2 linked regions of the Alligator mississippiensis genome follow. The protein of the gene in region 2 purifies or fractionates together with the protein of the main gene of each other region. This does not show direct contact. Links are inferred from orthologs where the notes say so. Each region holds a gene or a part of one and is shown on either strand. Other genes may lie near its edges.

Region 1 (7,553 bases), on a different chromosome or scaffold from region 2:
GGCCCTGCCCTGAGCTGCTACCTCTGGTATTGTCCTCAGTGCTCAGCTGTCTTTCCCTGGGCTGGGGTCTCTTGGGCCTGGCCCTGTGTGGGGCTGGTGGTATCTCCCCAGCTCGGGGGCTGCATAGGGTCTCTGCCTCCTGCCATTAAACTTGGTGCTTGCTCACTCCATGGGCCTCATCCTTCCTTTGCTGCTGCTCCATGCCTTCCCTGGGCCCTGTGCTCGTGGCTCAGCAATGGGGAGGAGGGGGGCCCGCATGGGCCTGGCAAGGAGATCCCTGAGCAGGAAGGACGGGGGCCCTGGCATGGCATCTGAGGGGCTCTCCTACTTTCCTGCTTCTGCTGCGAGGGGGGTGGGCAGGCCTGTGCCCTCTATCCGGTGCCGACGGGCTGCGGGTCAGCACTTCCCCAGGCGCTGGTTCCGTGTGCGAACGGCTGCTCGTAGCGCAGGGGCCTGGTGGGAGCTCTGCCTGTTGCAGGCTGCGTCGGCCTGGTGGGCCTCAGCTGAACACGGACAGGCCAGGTCTGCTCCACCTGCGGTCAGCACAGGGCAGTTGGGTGAAGGGGGCTGGGATGCAGCCCATGCTCAGCTCCGCACAGCTGCTGTCGTGCTGCCCTTGGGGTGTGAGACGCCCCAGCCCCAGCAGGCTCCCACCCGGCTGTAGGCTCTGTCGTGGCCTTGACCAGGAGCTTGCTGTGGGCAAAGGAGCTGCCCTTTCCCTGCGCTACCTTGCCCAGTTCCCCAGCCCCCAGGCATAACCACCTCTAGCCTGGTTTGAGCTGTGGTTGCTGCCTCTTTCAGCCTATCCCAGCTGGCCTGGACTCCATCTGCACTGGCCCAGGGCTCCTGGAGCTTGTTTCCACATCCCTTCCTTGCTGCAAGCCCTGGATCCACTGTCCTTTTTGCCGCCGGGTGATCACTGGAGCCACAAGACCCCCGCCACACAAGGCCAGGGGTGCTGCACCAAGCCCCCAGCCCTATTGGGCTGCAGGGATGGTGCCACAGGGCAGAGGCGGAGGGATGGGCCCTGGCACAGAGCACTGCGCCAAGGCTTCCTGGCAGCCCCTGTGCCAGGTGAGCCCTGCAGCTGCGGCAAAACAGCACCAGCTGCCCCAGACCGTTTGGCACCCAGTAGGGGAAGGGATGGGAACATCCTTGCGCTATAGTTCCCAGAGCAGACAAAGGGAAGAGCACCTCCCCCCATTCCCCTGTGCGGCCAAAAATCACTCTTTTGCCAGTTCCCAAAATGAGCACAGCACGTCCCGATCTGAGCAAACGCCAGACTGGGGCCAGCTGAGCCGGGTGCAGGGGAACAAGGACATGCCTATTGCAGCCCCCTTGCCCCCGGCCTGGGACCCTGGGCTGGCAGTGGGGCAGGCTGGGCTGTGGGTGCCCCTGTCCTTAGCAAGCAGACATCCTCTCCCAGGGCCCTCACTGACCCTGTGGTTCTACCATGAGGAGACCACTCTGGAGGTGTTGAGGGTGGGCTCACCTCCGGGCCCTGCCAGCTGGGCACAGGGCTGAGCTACTGCACCCTTCCTGGACCTGCTGTGCAGCCAGGCGTGGTGGCAAGGGGCCTGGCCTGGTCATGCTCCCAGCTCGGTGCAGAGGAGAGATCTGAACCCAGGTTTCCCAACCATCCCACCCCCCCGGGTCCCCTTTGCCCCATGCATCAATTCCGGGCAGTGCCAGGGTGCTGCAAGCACCTGGGCAGCTGGCCACATGTTTGTTTGTGGCTCACTGCTGGGAAGGTCACTGCCCGGGCAAGGCTGCATTGGGGGATAAAGGCAGCGTGGAGGGAGCCCCCCTGCACAGGCAGCCGCAGCAGCCAGAAGAACAGCAAGCCACAGCTATGGGGTGAGTGCTGCAGCTGCTCTGGGGCCCAGGGGATAGGGTCTTCAGCTGCTGGGGCCGCGGGAGGGTGTGGTAGGCACTGGGGGAGGCTAGGACATGTGCTTTAGGCAGTAAGCGACTTCCTGGAACAACTGCGCCCCAGCCGTGGCACTGCTGTGGGGAAGCCTGCAGCACTGTGCCTCAGCAGGTTACAGTGGGCTGAGCAAGCCCCAAGCTCACGGGACCCAGGGGACGGGAGGATTCTCAGCCCGACACCAAGGGCCCGGCAGCTCTGCTCACACAGCTCTTCTCACAGAGCCCCGATGCTGCTGATCGCCACTTTGGTGTGGGGGGTGCTTGCCACCGCCAGCGAGGGCCCAGACACACAAGGTAGGGGCAGGGGCCTTGGCGGGAAGGGGCTGGGCTGGGTAGGAGGACTTGTCTGCCCCACCGGCCAGCGCTGCCAGGTGAGCCCGGGGGGTCGGGGCAGGGGCTGCCCAGCATCTGTGGGCCCGCCTCGCTGCTGCTGTCACTGTGGGGTGCAGTGGAGCGGATCCACTCCCGGAGGGGCTGCTGCCTGTCCCCAGTGTCCCCTGCTGGGACCTGGCAGTGCAGGAAGGAGGGTGCCTGGGGGGCCGTGGGGGCCATGTGCCAGCTGCAGCTGACGCCGGTGCTTGCCCCGCAGCGTGCGGGAAACCCAAGAACTCGCCGCAGCCGTTGCAGCGCATCATCGGTGGCCGTATGTCCGGCAAGGGCCTGTTCCCGTGGCAGGGCCGGCTGGTGTCGCCACACAACCTCACGGCAGGGGCCACGCTCATCAGTGACCAGTGGGTGCTGACCACAGCCAGGAACGTCTACCTGGGGCAAAACGCATGCGCCAGCCCTGAGGACATCGCCCCCACCCTGAAGCTCTTCCTGGGCAACAGGGGACAACTGCCCGCGGGCGCCGTGGAGCGTGTGGTGCTGCACCCCAACTTCAACTCCACCGACTGCAACGCCACCTCCCACTGCAACGCCACCTCCAACTGCAACGCCACCTCCAACTGCCACGCTGCCCCCGGCACCGGCACCGACCTGGCACTGCTCAAGCTGCAGCACCCAGCGCCGCTGGGGCCTGAGGTGCTGCCCATCTGCCTGCCGCAAAAGGACTTTCTGGAGGTGGGGCGCGTGGGCTACGTGGCAGGCTGGGGCAGGGGCGCCACCCTGGCCTTCGCCGAGTGGCTGCGCTACATCATGGTGCCCGTGGCTGACACCAGCCTCTGCGCCAAGTACTACGCGGACGGTGGCCCCATCGGCGTGGCGCCCGACCTGGGCCCCGACAGCTTCTGCGTGGGCATGAGCAAGCTGCGTGAGGACACCTGCCACGGGGACGCCGGCGGCGCCTTCGCCGTGCACGACCCCGACGACGACACGTGGTATGCGGCCGGCATCCTCACCTACGACCGCACCTGCTCCGCCGCCAAGTACAGCGTCTACGCCAGCGTGCAGCACGCCCTGGCCTGGATCCGCCAGACCATGGACGAATCCTAACCCCCCCACCCCCACATCGACCAATAAACCTTGTGCTCTGCCAGCCCTGCGTGGTCTCTGTGCGGGGTGGCTGGACGGGGGGGGGGGGGGGGGGGATCAAGTGCCCCGGTGCTGTGGGGGGGGGAATCAAGTGCCCCAGTGCTGTGGGGGGGGAGGAAATCAAGAGCCCCAGTGCTGCGGGGGGAGGGGGGGGGAAATCAAGTACCCCGGTGCTGCGGGGGGGGGAGGGGAAATGAAGCGCCCTGGTGCTGCGGGGGGAGGGGGGGGGAAATCAAGTGCCCCGGTGCTGCGGGGGGGGAGGGGAAATGAAGCGCCCTGGTGCTGCGGGGGGAGGGGGGGGGAAATCAAGTGCCCCGGTGCTGCGGGGGGGGGGGGGGGTGATCAAGTGCCCCGGTGCTGCGGGGGGGGAGGGGAAATGAAGCGCCCTGGTGCTGCGGGGGGAGGGGGGGGGAAATCAAGTGCCCCGGTGCTGCGGGGGGGGGGGGGGTGATCAAGTGCCCCGGTGCTGCGGGGGGGAGGGGAAATGAAGCGCCCTGGTGCTGCGGGGGGGGGGGGGGGGGAAATCAAGTGCTCCGGTGCTGCGTGGGGGGGGGGGGGAATCAAGCGCTCCGGTGCTGCGTGGGGGGGGATCAAGCGCCCCGGTGCTGCGGGGGCGGGCGGGTACCGGTGCACCGAGGCCCGGGCTCTTCCCCAGGATCGGGCGGGTCGAGGGTCAGGGGCCCGGTGGCTTCCTCCAGCCACCGGCCCCGCCCCGCCCCGCCCCTAGACTGCCCCCGGCCCCGGCCCCGCCCCCAGGTACCCCCCACATAGTCCCGTCCCCGGAACGCCGCGGCCCCACGCGACGCCCCCTGCCGACTGGGAGCGAAGGGGTGCTGCTGCCTGCGCATGCGCACTGCCAGGTACCCCCCCCCCAGGGGGCGGACCGCGCTAGGGTCCTCCCTAGTCGCCCCGCGGCCTCTGTAGTGTCGGGCCGGGCGGCCTGTTCCGTCTCTATGGTGCTGGCGGACTCCAGTGCGGGCCTCTGTACCCTCCCTCGGACTCGATGGTGTTGCGGATCCAGGCCGCGTCTCTATGGCCTTGGCTGACTGGGCCGCAGTCCTCTCTAGCCCCGCCCCGCGCTCTGTGGTGCCGGCGGACAGAGTGGCTGCATCTCTATGGTGCGGGGTGGGCAGAGCGCCGCTGCCGCGCTGCACTGTGGGGCGGGCATGGCGGCGCCGGGCGCTGAGGCGATGGCGGAGGCGGAGGCGGAGGTGGAGGAGCCGGAGCCAGAGCGGGAGCGGGAGCCAGGGCTAGAGCCAGAGCGGGAGCCGGAGCCGGAGCCGTCGCTGCACCGGCTGGAGGGCAGCGGTGCCGAGGAGGGCGGGCTGGTGCTGCGCAAGCACGGCGCGGCCGGCCCGGGCGAGCCTCACGTCTTCCGCGCGCCGCGCGCCTCCCTGCTGGGCCTCGACGTGCTGGCGGCCCGGCGGCGGCGGGAGCGCGCGGGGCCCGGGCCCGGGCCGGGGCCGGCCGAGCAGGCGAAGCGGCCGCGGGGCGCCGGGGACGGGCCGGGGCCGGAGCCGGAGGAGGAGGCGGCGGACGCGGACGCGGGCAGCGCTGGGCCCGGCCGGGGCGGCCGCAGGGACAGGTGCGGGGGGGGCGGGTGTTGCTAGGAGACGCGGGGGGGTTGCTAGGAGACGCGGGGGCCGCGCTGACGGTGCCGCCCGCAGGCACTACCGCTGCGCGCCCGCGGAGACGCCGTCGCACCCGGGCGGGGTGAGCGAGGAGTTCTGGGAGCGCAGCCGGCAGCGCGAGCGGGAGCGGCGCGAGCAGGGCGTCTTCGCCTCCTCCAAGGACGACAGGGAGCGCCGGCGCGAGCGCGGCCGCGACCGGGACCACGACCACGACCGGCAGCGGGAGCGCGGTGAGTGCTCGGCGCGGCGGGGGGGGGGGGGGCGGCTCCCGCGCGGCGCTTGACGGCGCTTTCCTTGCAGAGGAGCGCGACAGGAGCCACCACGGCAGCAGCCGCTCGGAGCGGGACGGCTGGTCCGAGAGGAGCGGCAGCAGGAGGAGCGAGCCGGAGAGCCCCCGGCATCGGCCCAAAGGTAGCGCGGGCGACGGGGACGGGGGTGGGGCGCTGGGGCGGTGGCCTGGGCCCGCTTGGAGGCGCGATCCATCCCCGCGGGGGAGCTGCAGCCCTTGGGGGAGCACGCCGCCCGCCCCGCCCCGTCTTGGGGGGCCCCACGCGGGGCTGCTGCCCCTCCCCCCACACGAGGTCCGTGCTTCAAGCGCGCCGGGGCCCTGCGTAAGCAACGCCAGGCCCGGCCTGCGCTGCCTGCGGGAGTCCCCGAGCCCGGGTGGCAGGGGCTGCGTCCGGCGTCAGAGATCCGCTCCCCTCCCAGATGCCGCCACGCCGTCCTGCTCGAGCTGGGAGGAAGATGACAGCGGCTACAGCACCTCGCGCCGCTCGCACTGGGAGTCGCCTTCACCTGCACCTTCCTGCCGGGACCGTGGCCACCGCACGCCCTCCTCGCGGGACACGGACAGGAGGGATCGGGAAAGGTGCTGGAGCGAAGCCTGGGTGGGGGCAGAGGTTGGGGCAGGCGGAGACGGTGGGGAGGGGGCAGCTTCGGGGAATGCCCCGTGGAGGTGCTGAGGGGCGGCAGGTGCCTGCCTTGCAGGAGGAGGAGGAGAGTGCTTGGGCTGCTAACCAGCAACGCTCCTCCGTGCTGGTGCTGTCCCAGGTCTGTGAGGAGCAAGTACCCAGACAGGACACCGCTTCCTACTCCTTCGTACAAGTACAATGAGTGGGCAGACGACCGCAAGCACCTGGGCTCCACGCCGCGGCTGTCTCGGGGGAAAGGTGAGGGGTAGGGAGATGGGGCTCTGGGGGCCTGACTCCTCTCACGGGAGGCACAGCCAAGAAGTTGGCTGCTTGGGCTCTCAGCAAAGGTCTGGCACTTGCGAGGGCTCCGTGCTGATCAGCTTGTTCTCCCTCAGGGAGGCGCGAGGACGGGGAGGAAGGGATTGCCTTCGAGACGGAGGAGGAGCGACAGCAGTGGGAGGATGATCAGCGGGTAAGAGCCTGGGAGGGAGGGGTGCTGCATGTCTCTGGGTCTGAGGCCCTGAGCCTGGAGCTTTGTCCCAGCGGGGTGGCACCAGGGCTGTCGGGGGAGGTGTCCCCTTGAAGCCTGCTGGGCACAGCTAGGGCCAGCATGGGTGCGTGAGGCACCAGGGCTGGTATTGCAGTAGCAGGTGCCTGCATGAGGAGAGGGGGTCGGTGCGGCATCGGCTGTGGCTTTTGGAGGAAAGGCTGAGGTGTGGGCCCTTTAGTACACTGGGATGGGGCAGGGATGGGTGGGGCGAGCAAGTGTGGCTTGGTGCAGAGCTCAGGCAGTGTGCTCATGGCGTGGGGGTGCTTGCAGCATGGGGCCCTGGGGGAGGGGCCGTCCCAGGGAACAGGAGGGGCTGGCGGCCTGCACGGGCTGCCTGGGGATGGCGGGGGTCGGCCCGCACAGGTAGCCGCCTGGGTCCTGTCCTGGGTCCTGCGCGAGCCGTTGGCTCCCCCGCGTGGCCAGCCTGGGCACAGCACCTCTGCCGTGTTTCCGTGTGGTGGCTCGGTGCAGACGTGGGACAGCCCTCTCCAGGCGCCCGGCTGCACGCTCCCGGGTTGGAAGTCCCCAGCCTCCAGGTGCCTGCGCGTGGGCAGGATGCGCAGCCTCCTGAGTCCTCCGGCTTTTCCCTTCTGCCTGCCCCTCTCCCCCTGGCTGCCACGTGTGCACAGCAAGCCGACCGGGACTGGTACATGATGGACGAGGGCTACGACGAGTTCCACAATCCCCTGGCCTACTCATCGGAAGAGTATGTGCGGAAGCGGGAGCAGCACCTTACCAAGCAGAAGCAGAAGCGCATCTCTGCACAGCGGAGGCAGATCAATGAGGTAGGAGTCGGTCCTGGGCCGGGCCAGGCTGACTCCTGGGGAGCCGGCCTCACCACCTGTTCAGCCAGTGTGTGCATGCGTGTGTATATGCACAGGGGTTGCAGCTCTGTGCTGGGTTGGGGCTGGATCGTAAGAGGATCTGCAGGTGTCGTGGATGCCTCGGCTAGGCAGACCTGGCAGTTCTGGTTCCTTGGCGGTTGGTTCTCCAGCTCCCCAGCCCTTTCTAGGGCCGTTTTCTGGATTCCTCCCTGGACCAAGATTTTCCTGCTAATGA
Region 2 (7,069 bases):
AGGGGGTCGCCCGCAGCCCCCGCACCGGCCGCCCGGCACTGCCACCAGACCCTGCCCCGCCCGCCCGCCCGCCAGGTGAGGGGCGGCCCACGGCGGGGCTCGGGCTCGTGCTCGGGCACGGGGGGGCGGGCAGGAGGGCCCTGTCTGCAGGGCGCTGGGGCGGTGTCCAGGGGGGTTGGGGCGGACGTGGGGCAGCGCCGGGGCGGCCTGGGGCCGCGGGGCAGGCGCCATAGCGGGGCTGTAGGTGGGGGCGTTGCGGGGCGGCGGGGGCACGGGGCCGGGGCGGCGGGGGCAGGCCGCGAGCGCGGGCCCCGCGGCGCCCTTGGCGGGGATCGGGTTTCCCCCGCAAAGGTCAGCGCGAAACCCACGCGCGGCGGGCCGGGGGGTGCAGTGACGCAACCCCAGAGCCTCCCAGGCCCCGCCCCCGGGACGTCACTGCGCGGGCGGGGCACGGCGTGGGGGAGCCCCAGGGCAGCCCCGGGGGCAGCAGGGGCGTGGCCCCCCGGCCGCGCCCGCGCGTGACGTCGGCGCGGCGCCCCGCCCCCAGCCCCTAGCCCGCCGCAGCCCCACGCGGCAGCGCAGTCGATCCCGCCGCCGCCGCTGCCGCAGGTTGGCTTGGGGGGGGCGTCGGGCCGGGGGGGCTTCGGGCCGGGGGGGGGGCGTCGGGGTGGGGGGAAGCGCCGGGGGGGCGCTGCTGGGCCGGGCGCCTGGCTCCCTGCCCCCCCCGCCCTTGGAGCGACCTTGACTCCCGGCACCGCCGCGCGGAGCTCGGGCACGCGGGCCCGGGGGCTGCCATCGCCCCCCCTCCCGCCCCGGCCCCCTCGGTCCCGCCCGCGCCCCGGGCACACGACCCCCCCGGACACTTGCCCCCACCCGCGGCCACGACCCCCCCCCGACGCCCGGGTCCCGCCCAGGGGGGGCCGGAAGCGGCCATGCGGAAGGCCGCGCGCCGCACGTCCCGCGCGTAACCCCTGCGCTCCCGCAGCCGCCAAGATGCCGCACCCGCACCCGGCCCTGACGCCCGAGCAGAAGAAGGAGCTGGCGGACATCGCCCACCGCATCGTGGCGCCCGGCAAGGGCATCCTGGCCGCCGATGAGTCCACCGGTGCGGGGCGGGAGTGCAGGGCACGGGGGGGGGGCTGCGGGGCGGGAGTGTGGGGCACGGGGGGGGGGGGCTGCGGGGCGGGAGTGGGAGGCACGGGGCACTGCAGGGCCCCCTGTGTTAACCCCCACCCGCCCCCCTGCAGGCAGCATCGCCAAGCGCCTGAGCTCCATCGGGGCAGAGAACACCGAGGAGAACCGGCGCTGGTACCGGCAGCTGCTCTTCACGGCCGACGCGCGCGTGGATCCCTGCATTGGCGGCGTCATCCTCTTCCACGAGACCCTCTACCAGAAGGCCGACGATGGGCGCACCTTCCCCCAGGTCATCAAGGCCAAGGGCGGCGTTGTTGGTATCAAGGTAGGCCCCCGGGGGGGTGGGCAAGGTGGTCATGGGGACTATTGGGGGGGGGGGAGGGGGCCGGGGTTGGAGGTCTCAGGAGGCTTTTACCTTGAACCTGGTAGTTGGGGTGCAGGAGTGAGGAGTGGAGGCCAGGGGTCGGGGCAGTACTGATGAGGTTCCCTCTCCCCCACCGCAGGTGGACAAGGGCGTGGTGGCCCTGGCCGGGACCGATGGGGAGACCACCACCCAAGGTGAGTGCCTGGACACCAGGGTCTCGGGGCTGGGAGTGGTTGCATCTGGCAGGACAGGCATGTCTGCGGGGTTTTCCCCAAATGCCTGGGTCCTGAGCCTCATCCCCCTCCCCAGGCCTGGACGGGCTTTCTGAGCGCTGTGCCCAGTACAAGAAGGATGGGGCCGACTTCGCCAAGTGGCGCTGCGTGCTCAAGATCGGGCCCCACACGCCCTCACGCCTCGCCATCCTGGAGAATGCCAATGTGCTGGCCCGCTACGCCAGCATCTGCCAGCAGGTGGCCGTGGGGCAGGGCTGGGGGCAGGGCTACTTCCTCTCCCAGGAGCTAGCAGGGGGTGGGGCTAAGACTGAGGGCAGAGCCAGAAGGGCACAGGCAGCATCTGCCAGCAGGTGGGGCTAGAGGGGCTGTAGGTGGGGCTGGGGGTTGGGGTCAGGGCTAACAGGCTCATCCCGACCTCCCCCCATGTCCTTCTAGAACGGCATTGTGCCCATCGTGGAGCCCGAGATCCTCCCCGATGGCGACCATGACCTGAAGCGCTGCCAGCACGTCACCGAGAAGGTGAGAGGGGTCACTGCAGTGAGGGGGCACTTACCAGAGGCTGGGAGGTGGGAGATCTTTGGGGGGTGTGGCCAGAAGGAGCCCCGCCTCTTGGAGGAGCTGGAGGGAAGATGCAGCAGTGGATGTGGGTGGTGTGCTGACCAGTCCTGCCCCCCCCCAGGTGCTGGCGGCTGTGTACAAGGCGCTGAGTGACCACCATGTCTACCTGGAGGGGTCACTGCTGAAGCCCAACATGGTGACACCTGGGCACGCCTGCACCACCAAGTACAGCCATGAGGAGATCGCCATGGCTACCATCACCGCGCTGCGCCGCACCGTGCCACCTGCTGTGCCCGGTGAGACCTGGGCCTGCCCCTGGCTTCACCCCCTGTGGCCCTGCTCCCTATCTCACCCCTGACAGCCATGCTCTGGGCATGCAAGCCAGGGTAGGGGAGGCTCCACCATCTCCTTGACTCCACCCCCTTGCCCATTAACCCCCTGGGTGCTGTGCCTATGCCCAGGGTCCCCTGCTCCAGCCCAGCCTGTTAACCCCGCGAGCACTGTGTCACGCCGGCACTGACTCCCTCCCCCTTCACAGGTATCACCTTCCTGTCCGGGGGGCAGAGCGAGGAGGAGGCGTCTCTGAACCTCAATGCCATCAACAAGTGCCCCCTGCACAAGCCCTGGGCCCTGACCTTCTCCTACGGGCGGGCGCTGCAGGCTTCAGCCCTCAAGGCCTGGGGCGGCAAGAAGGAGAACACCAAGGCGGCCCAGGAGGAGTACGTCAAGCGCGCTCTGGTGCGTACTGACCTGGCCCGCGGCGGGGGGAGAGTGACCTCTGACTTGCAGAGGGGGTGGGGGAGGGGAGCCTGGACGCTGGGTTTTTTGTGCTGCTCTGACCTGTCTTGTCTGTCCGTCTCTCTGCAGGCCAACAGCCTCGCCTGCCAGGGCAAGTACGCCGGCAGCGGCCAGGCCGGTGCTGCCTCCAAGGAGTCTCTCTTCGTTTCCAACCATGCCTACTAGGCTGCGGCTCCACCCTGCCTGCCCCCCGCCCCTCCCCCATCCCCTTCCCAACTTGGGCTGCAACTATATTCACCTGGACCCGACTGGGGCAGAGACCAGCGGGCACAAGAACCCCGGCCTCCGGGCGGCCCCTCCCCCCCTCCCCCTCCCCCTGGTGAGCAACACTTCCGGCTCCCGCCCCCCCTCCAGCTGCCCGGTCTCCGGGTGGGGGCGGGCGAGGCCCTAACTACACTGAGTTACTGAATAAAATGAATTCATGAAGATATGTGTCCTGTGCTCCTGGGCCTCGGGGGTGCGGGTTTCGGGGGTCTAGGCCGTGGGCCCCTCTGGCCCCCAGGAGGGGAAAGGAGCCAGGGTGGGGGGGGGGCAGGGTTCTGGCCTGTGTCCCCCACACGTGACCGCAGCAGAGGGAATGCATGTCCCTGCCCGAGTAGCCTGTCCTGGCACAGGCCCCTGCTTGCTGACGTCACATGCTCGGCCTAGGGCACAGGAATCCACGCTCGGGTGACATCACCTTCGCCCATCCCTCGCTCCCCTTCCCCGCCACTTCCGCCCCGTGACGGGTGCCTGGGTAGCACTTCCGCCCTGGCTCTGATGTCATTCATCATGCGCCCCCTCATTTCCCGTGGCATTTCGGCTCTACACGTCAGTTCCGCCCGGCCCTACACTTCATTCTGGCTGTTTGCGTAGCATACGCTTTTACCGTTACTTCCGCCCTCACCGTGACGTCGCTTCCTGTCCCTCACCTTTTCTTTCTTCCCTTAGACGTCCCAAATGCGTCACTTCCCGCCCGTCTCTCAGGCCTTCCTCCTTCCGGTTGTGGAGGAAGGGGGGTGTCCGGACGTGACGTCGCGCCGGCGGGGGCGGGGCCACGAGCGGTGGGAACCGGTGCGACGCGGGGCCGCCGCCGGGACCAGGTGCGGGGGGGGGGGGTGGTGCATATGCTGGCGTCGCAGCGGCAAGGATCCGGGCCGGGGGGGGTGCAGTTCCGGGGCCCCCGGGGCGGGTCAGGCTGTGGGGGCCGGTTCCGGGGGCAGCTTGGGCCAGCGTGGCCTGGGGGCAGCTCCTGGGTAGCGTGCGGGGCCGGGGGTGCTTGTGGGGCCCTGCGCGGGGGCCCGGGCCGCGCTCACCCCGACCCCGCGTTGCCCCCCAGCCATGGCGGAGCTGAGCGACCTGGACCGGCAGATCGAGCAGCTGCGGCGCTGCGAGCTCATCAAGGAGAGCGAGGTCAAGGCCCTGTGCGCCAAGGCCCGGTGAGCGGGGCGGCAGGGCTGGGGGCGCCGCGTAAGGGGGATCCTGCATCGCAGCCGCCTCTGGGGAGCCCGCACCGGGGCTCGGGTCAAGAGCTCGCGCAGTGCGGCTGGCTCTGGGGGGCCCGGCTGCTGTCTGCATAGAACAGAGCTCTGGGGCGGCAGGACGGGCCCCGCGGGGCGCTGGCTGTGGGGGACACGGGGGCAGGACGGGCCCCGCGGGGCGCTGGCTGTGGGGGACACGGGGGCAGGACGGGCCCCGCGGGGCGCTGGCTGTGGGGGACACGGGGGCAGGACGGGCCCCGCGGGGCGCTGGCTGTGGGGGACACGGGGGCAGGACGGGCCCCGCGGGGCGCTGGCTGTGGGGGACACGGGGGCAGGACGGGCCCCGCGGGGCGCTGGCTGTGGGGGACACGGGGGCAGGACGGGCCCCGCGGGGCGCTGGCTGTGGGGGACACGGGGGCAGGACGGGCCCCGCGGGGCGCTGGCTCTGGGGGACACGGGGGCAGGACGGGCCCCGCGGGGCGCTGGCTCTGGGGGACACGGGGGCAAAGGCCATGAATAACTGGTGTCCCTGCCTCTCCCTGCCTAGGGAGATCCTGGTGGAGGAGAGCAACGTGCAGCGGGTGGACTCCCCAGTGACGGTGAGCGGGGCTTGGGCAGGGGTCCCTGGGCCAGGAGGGTCTAGGCCAGAGGGCATCAGGGCTGCCCTGTCTCACCCCCCCCCCTTGCCCCCCCCAGGTCTGCGGTGACATCCACGGACAGTTTTATGACCTCAAAGAGCTCTTCCGGGTGAGTCCTGCCCCCCACAAACTCCACCCTGCCCCCCCCACTGCAGGCCCCCCCTTACCCCTGCTGCCCCCCAGGTGGGCGGCGACGTCCCCGAGACCAACTACCTCTTCATGGGGGATTTTGTGGACCGCGGCTTCTACAGCGTCGAGACCTTCCTGCTCCTGCTGGCGCTCAAGGTAGATGCCCCCAGCCCCCCCAGGGCACTGGGCACACAACTGGGGTTGGCATGCTCTGGGGCAGGGCGGCTGCAGGGGGTAGCTGGCAGGGGAGGCTTGGGGGACGGATGCAGCCGGCTCTGGGCTGGGCCCCACTGGGGACAGGAAGACTTGTGCCCTCAGGCTGGAGCTGGCTCTAGGGTGTCACAGGCACTGAGGCGGCTGGGCCTGGGGTTGAAGCATCCTGTGGCAGCAGCCAGGTACCACAGGGGCCAGCGTTGCAGCTACCTCTGGGGCCTGGTGTTTAAGTGGCCAAGTATAAGAGGCCTGGGCGGTGCAGCTGGTTTTGTGGGGGTGTGGGTGAAGCCGGGTATAATAGGGCTGAACAGTGCTGCGGGCTGTAGGGTGGGATGTTATACTTGGCCCCTGACGCATCCCACCCCAGATCCAGCTACAGCACTTGGGCCTGTTATACTCAGCTGCTGACTTGCTCTACCCTAGAGTCAGCTGCATTGTTCAGCTCTCCTGTACTCATCTGCTGTCAGCCGGTTTTGGAGTGGGACATACTGGCAGCTGACTACAATGCGTCCCACCCTAGAACCAGCTGCCTGCAGGCCTGAGCACTGCAGATGGCTCTGGGTGGGGCACGTTGGTAGCCGAGTGTAACAGGCTGCAGAAAGCAGCCAGCTCTGGGGTGGGATGTGCTGGTGGCCAAGTGTAAACCCCCCCCCCCATGGCCTCCACAGGTGCGGTACCCAGACCGGATCACGCTGATCCGCGGCAACCATGAGAGCCGGCAGATCACGCAGGTCTATGGCTTCTATGATGAGTGTCTGCGCAAGTACGGCTCCGTCACTGTGTGGCGCTACTGCACCGAGATCTTCGACTACCTCAGCCTCTCAGCCATCATCGACGGCAAGGTGCCCCACCCCGCTCCCAGAGACCTGGGTTCCCTGTGGGGGAAGAGCAGGGGGCTGAACAGTGGGAGCCTGGACACTTGGGTTTTCCAGCGGGCAATGGTTTAGCCTCTGGTCTGGGATTCCCCTGCCTGACCCATGCCCCCTCTTCCCTGCCCTCTCAGATCTTCTGCGTGCATGGGGGACTGTCGCCCTCGATCCAGACGCTGGACCAGATCCGCACAATCGACCGCAAGCAGGAGGTGCCCCACGACGGCCCCATGTGTGACCTGCTCTGGTCTGACCCTGAAGGTACAATGGAGGGGGCAGCAATGCAGCCAGCTCTGGGGTGGGGCAGATGGGAACAGCAGGCTGTGATGCTGCCCAAGAGGGCTTGGTCAGCCCAGTGATGCGAGCAGCTTGCAGGTGGGTGGTGCTGGCAGCTGGCTGTAACAGCACCCTGCCATGCAGCTGGCTCTGGGGTGGGTGGTGCTAGTGGCCACACATAACGGGCCTTGTCCCTGCCTTGCAGACACGACGGGCTGGGGCGTGAGCCCGCGGGGGGCCGGCTACCTGTTTGGCAGTGATGTGGTGGCCCAGTTCAACGCATCCAACGACATCGACATGATCTGCCGAGCACACCAGCTCGTCATGGAGGGTTACAAGTGGCATTTCAATGAGACTGTGCTCACAGTCTGGTCGGCCCCCAACTACTGCTACAGGT

What was found.
Region 1: the proteins of PPP4C (region 2) and DHX38 purify together in Homo sapiens (affinity purification with mass spectrometry; 5 studies listed by BioGRID and IntAct, with this or other methods). This does not show direct contact. The link is inferred for Alligator mississippiensis from reciprocal best matches to the Homo sapiens genes PPP4C and DHX38.

Annotation. Positions count from the first base shown.
Region 1 is NC_081833.1:77,516,843-77,524,395, reverse strand, and holds the start of DHX38 (pre-mRNA-splicing factor ATP-dependent RNA helicase PRP16), read left to right. Parts: upstream 1-4,548; 5' UTR 4,549-4,568; coding exon 4,569-4,987; intron 4,988-5,069; coding exon 5,070-5,263; intron 5,264-5,333; coding exon 5,334-5,444; intron 5,445-5,741; coding exon 5,742-5,901; intron 5,902-6,083; coding exon 6,084-6,202; intron 6,203-6,339; coding exon 6,340-6,416; intron 6,417-7,123; coding exon 7,124-7,279; intron 7,280-7,553. Other genes in the region: haptoglobin, read left to right, coding at 1,668-1,857, 2,519-3,363. UniProt on the Homo sapiens protein: Probable ATP-binding RNA helicase. Involved in pre-mRNA splicing as component of the spliceosome.
Region 2 is NC_081830.1:230,676-237,744, reverse strand, and holds the start of PPP4C (serine/threonine-protein phosphatase 4 catalytic subunit), read left to right. Parts: upstream 1-4,058; 5' UTR 4,059-4,169; intron 4,170-4,405; 5' UTR 4,406-4,407; coding exon 4,408-4,505; intron 4,506-5,094; coding exon 5,095-5,146; intron 5,147-5,243; coding exon 5,244-5,294; intron 5,295-5,368; coding exon 5,369-5,470; intron 5,471-6,195; coding exon 6,196-6,369; intron 6,370-6,530; coding exon 6,531-6,657; intron 6,658-6,877; coding exon 6,878-7,067; intron 7,068-7,069. Other genes in the region: ALDOA (fructose-bisphosphate aldolase A), read left to right, coding at 994-1,105, 1,248-1,459, 1,638-1,692, 1,808-1,968, 2,167-2,250, 2,411-2,585, 2,828-3,027, 3,157-3,252. UniProt on the Homo sapiens protein: Protein phosphatase that is involved in many processes such as microtubule organization at centrosomes, maturation of spliceosomal snRNPs, apoptosis, DNA repair, tumor necrosis factor (TNF)-alpha signaling, activation of c-Jun N-terminal kinase MAPK8, regulation of histone acetylation, DNA damage checkpoint signaling, NF-kappa-B activation and cell migration.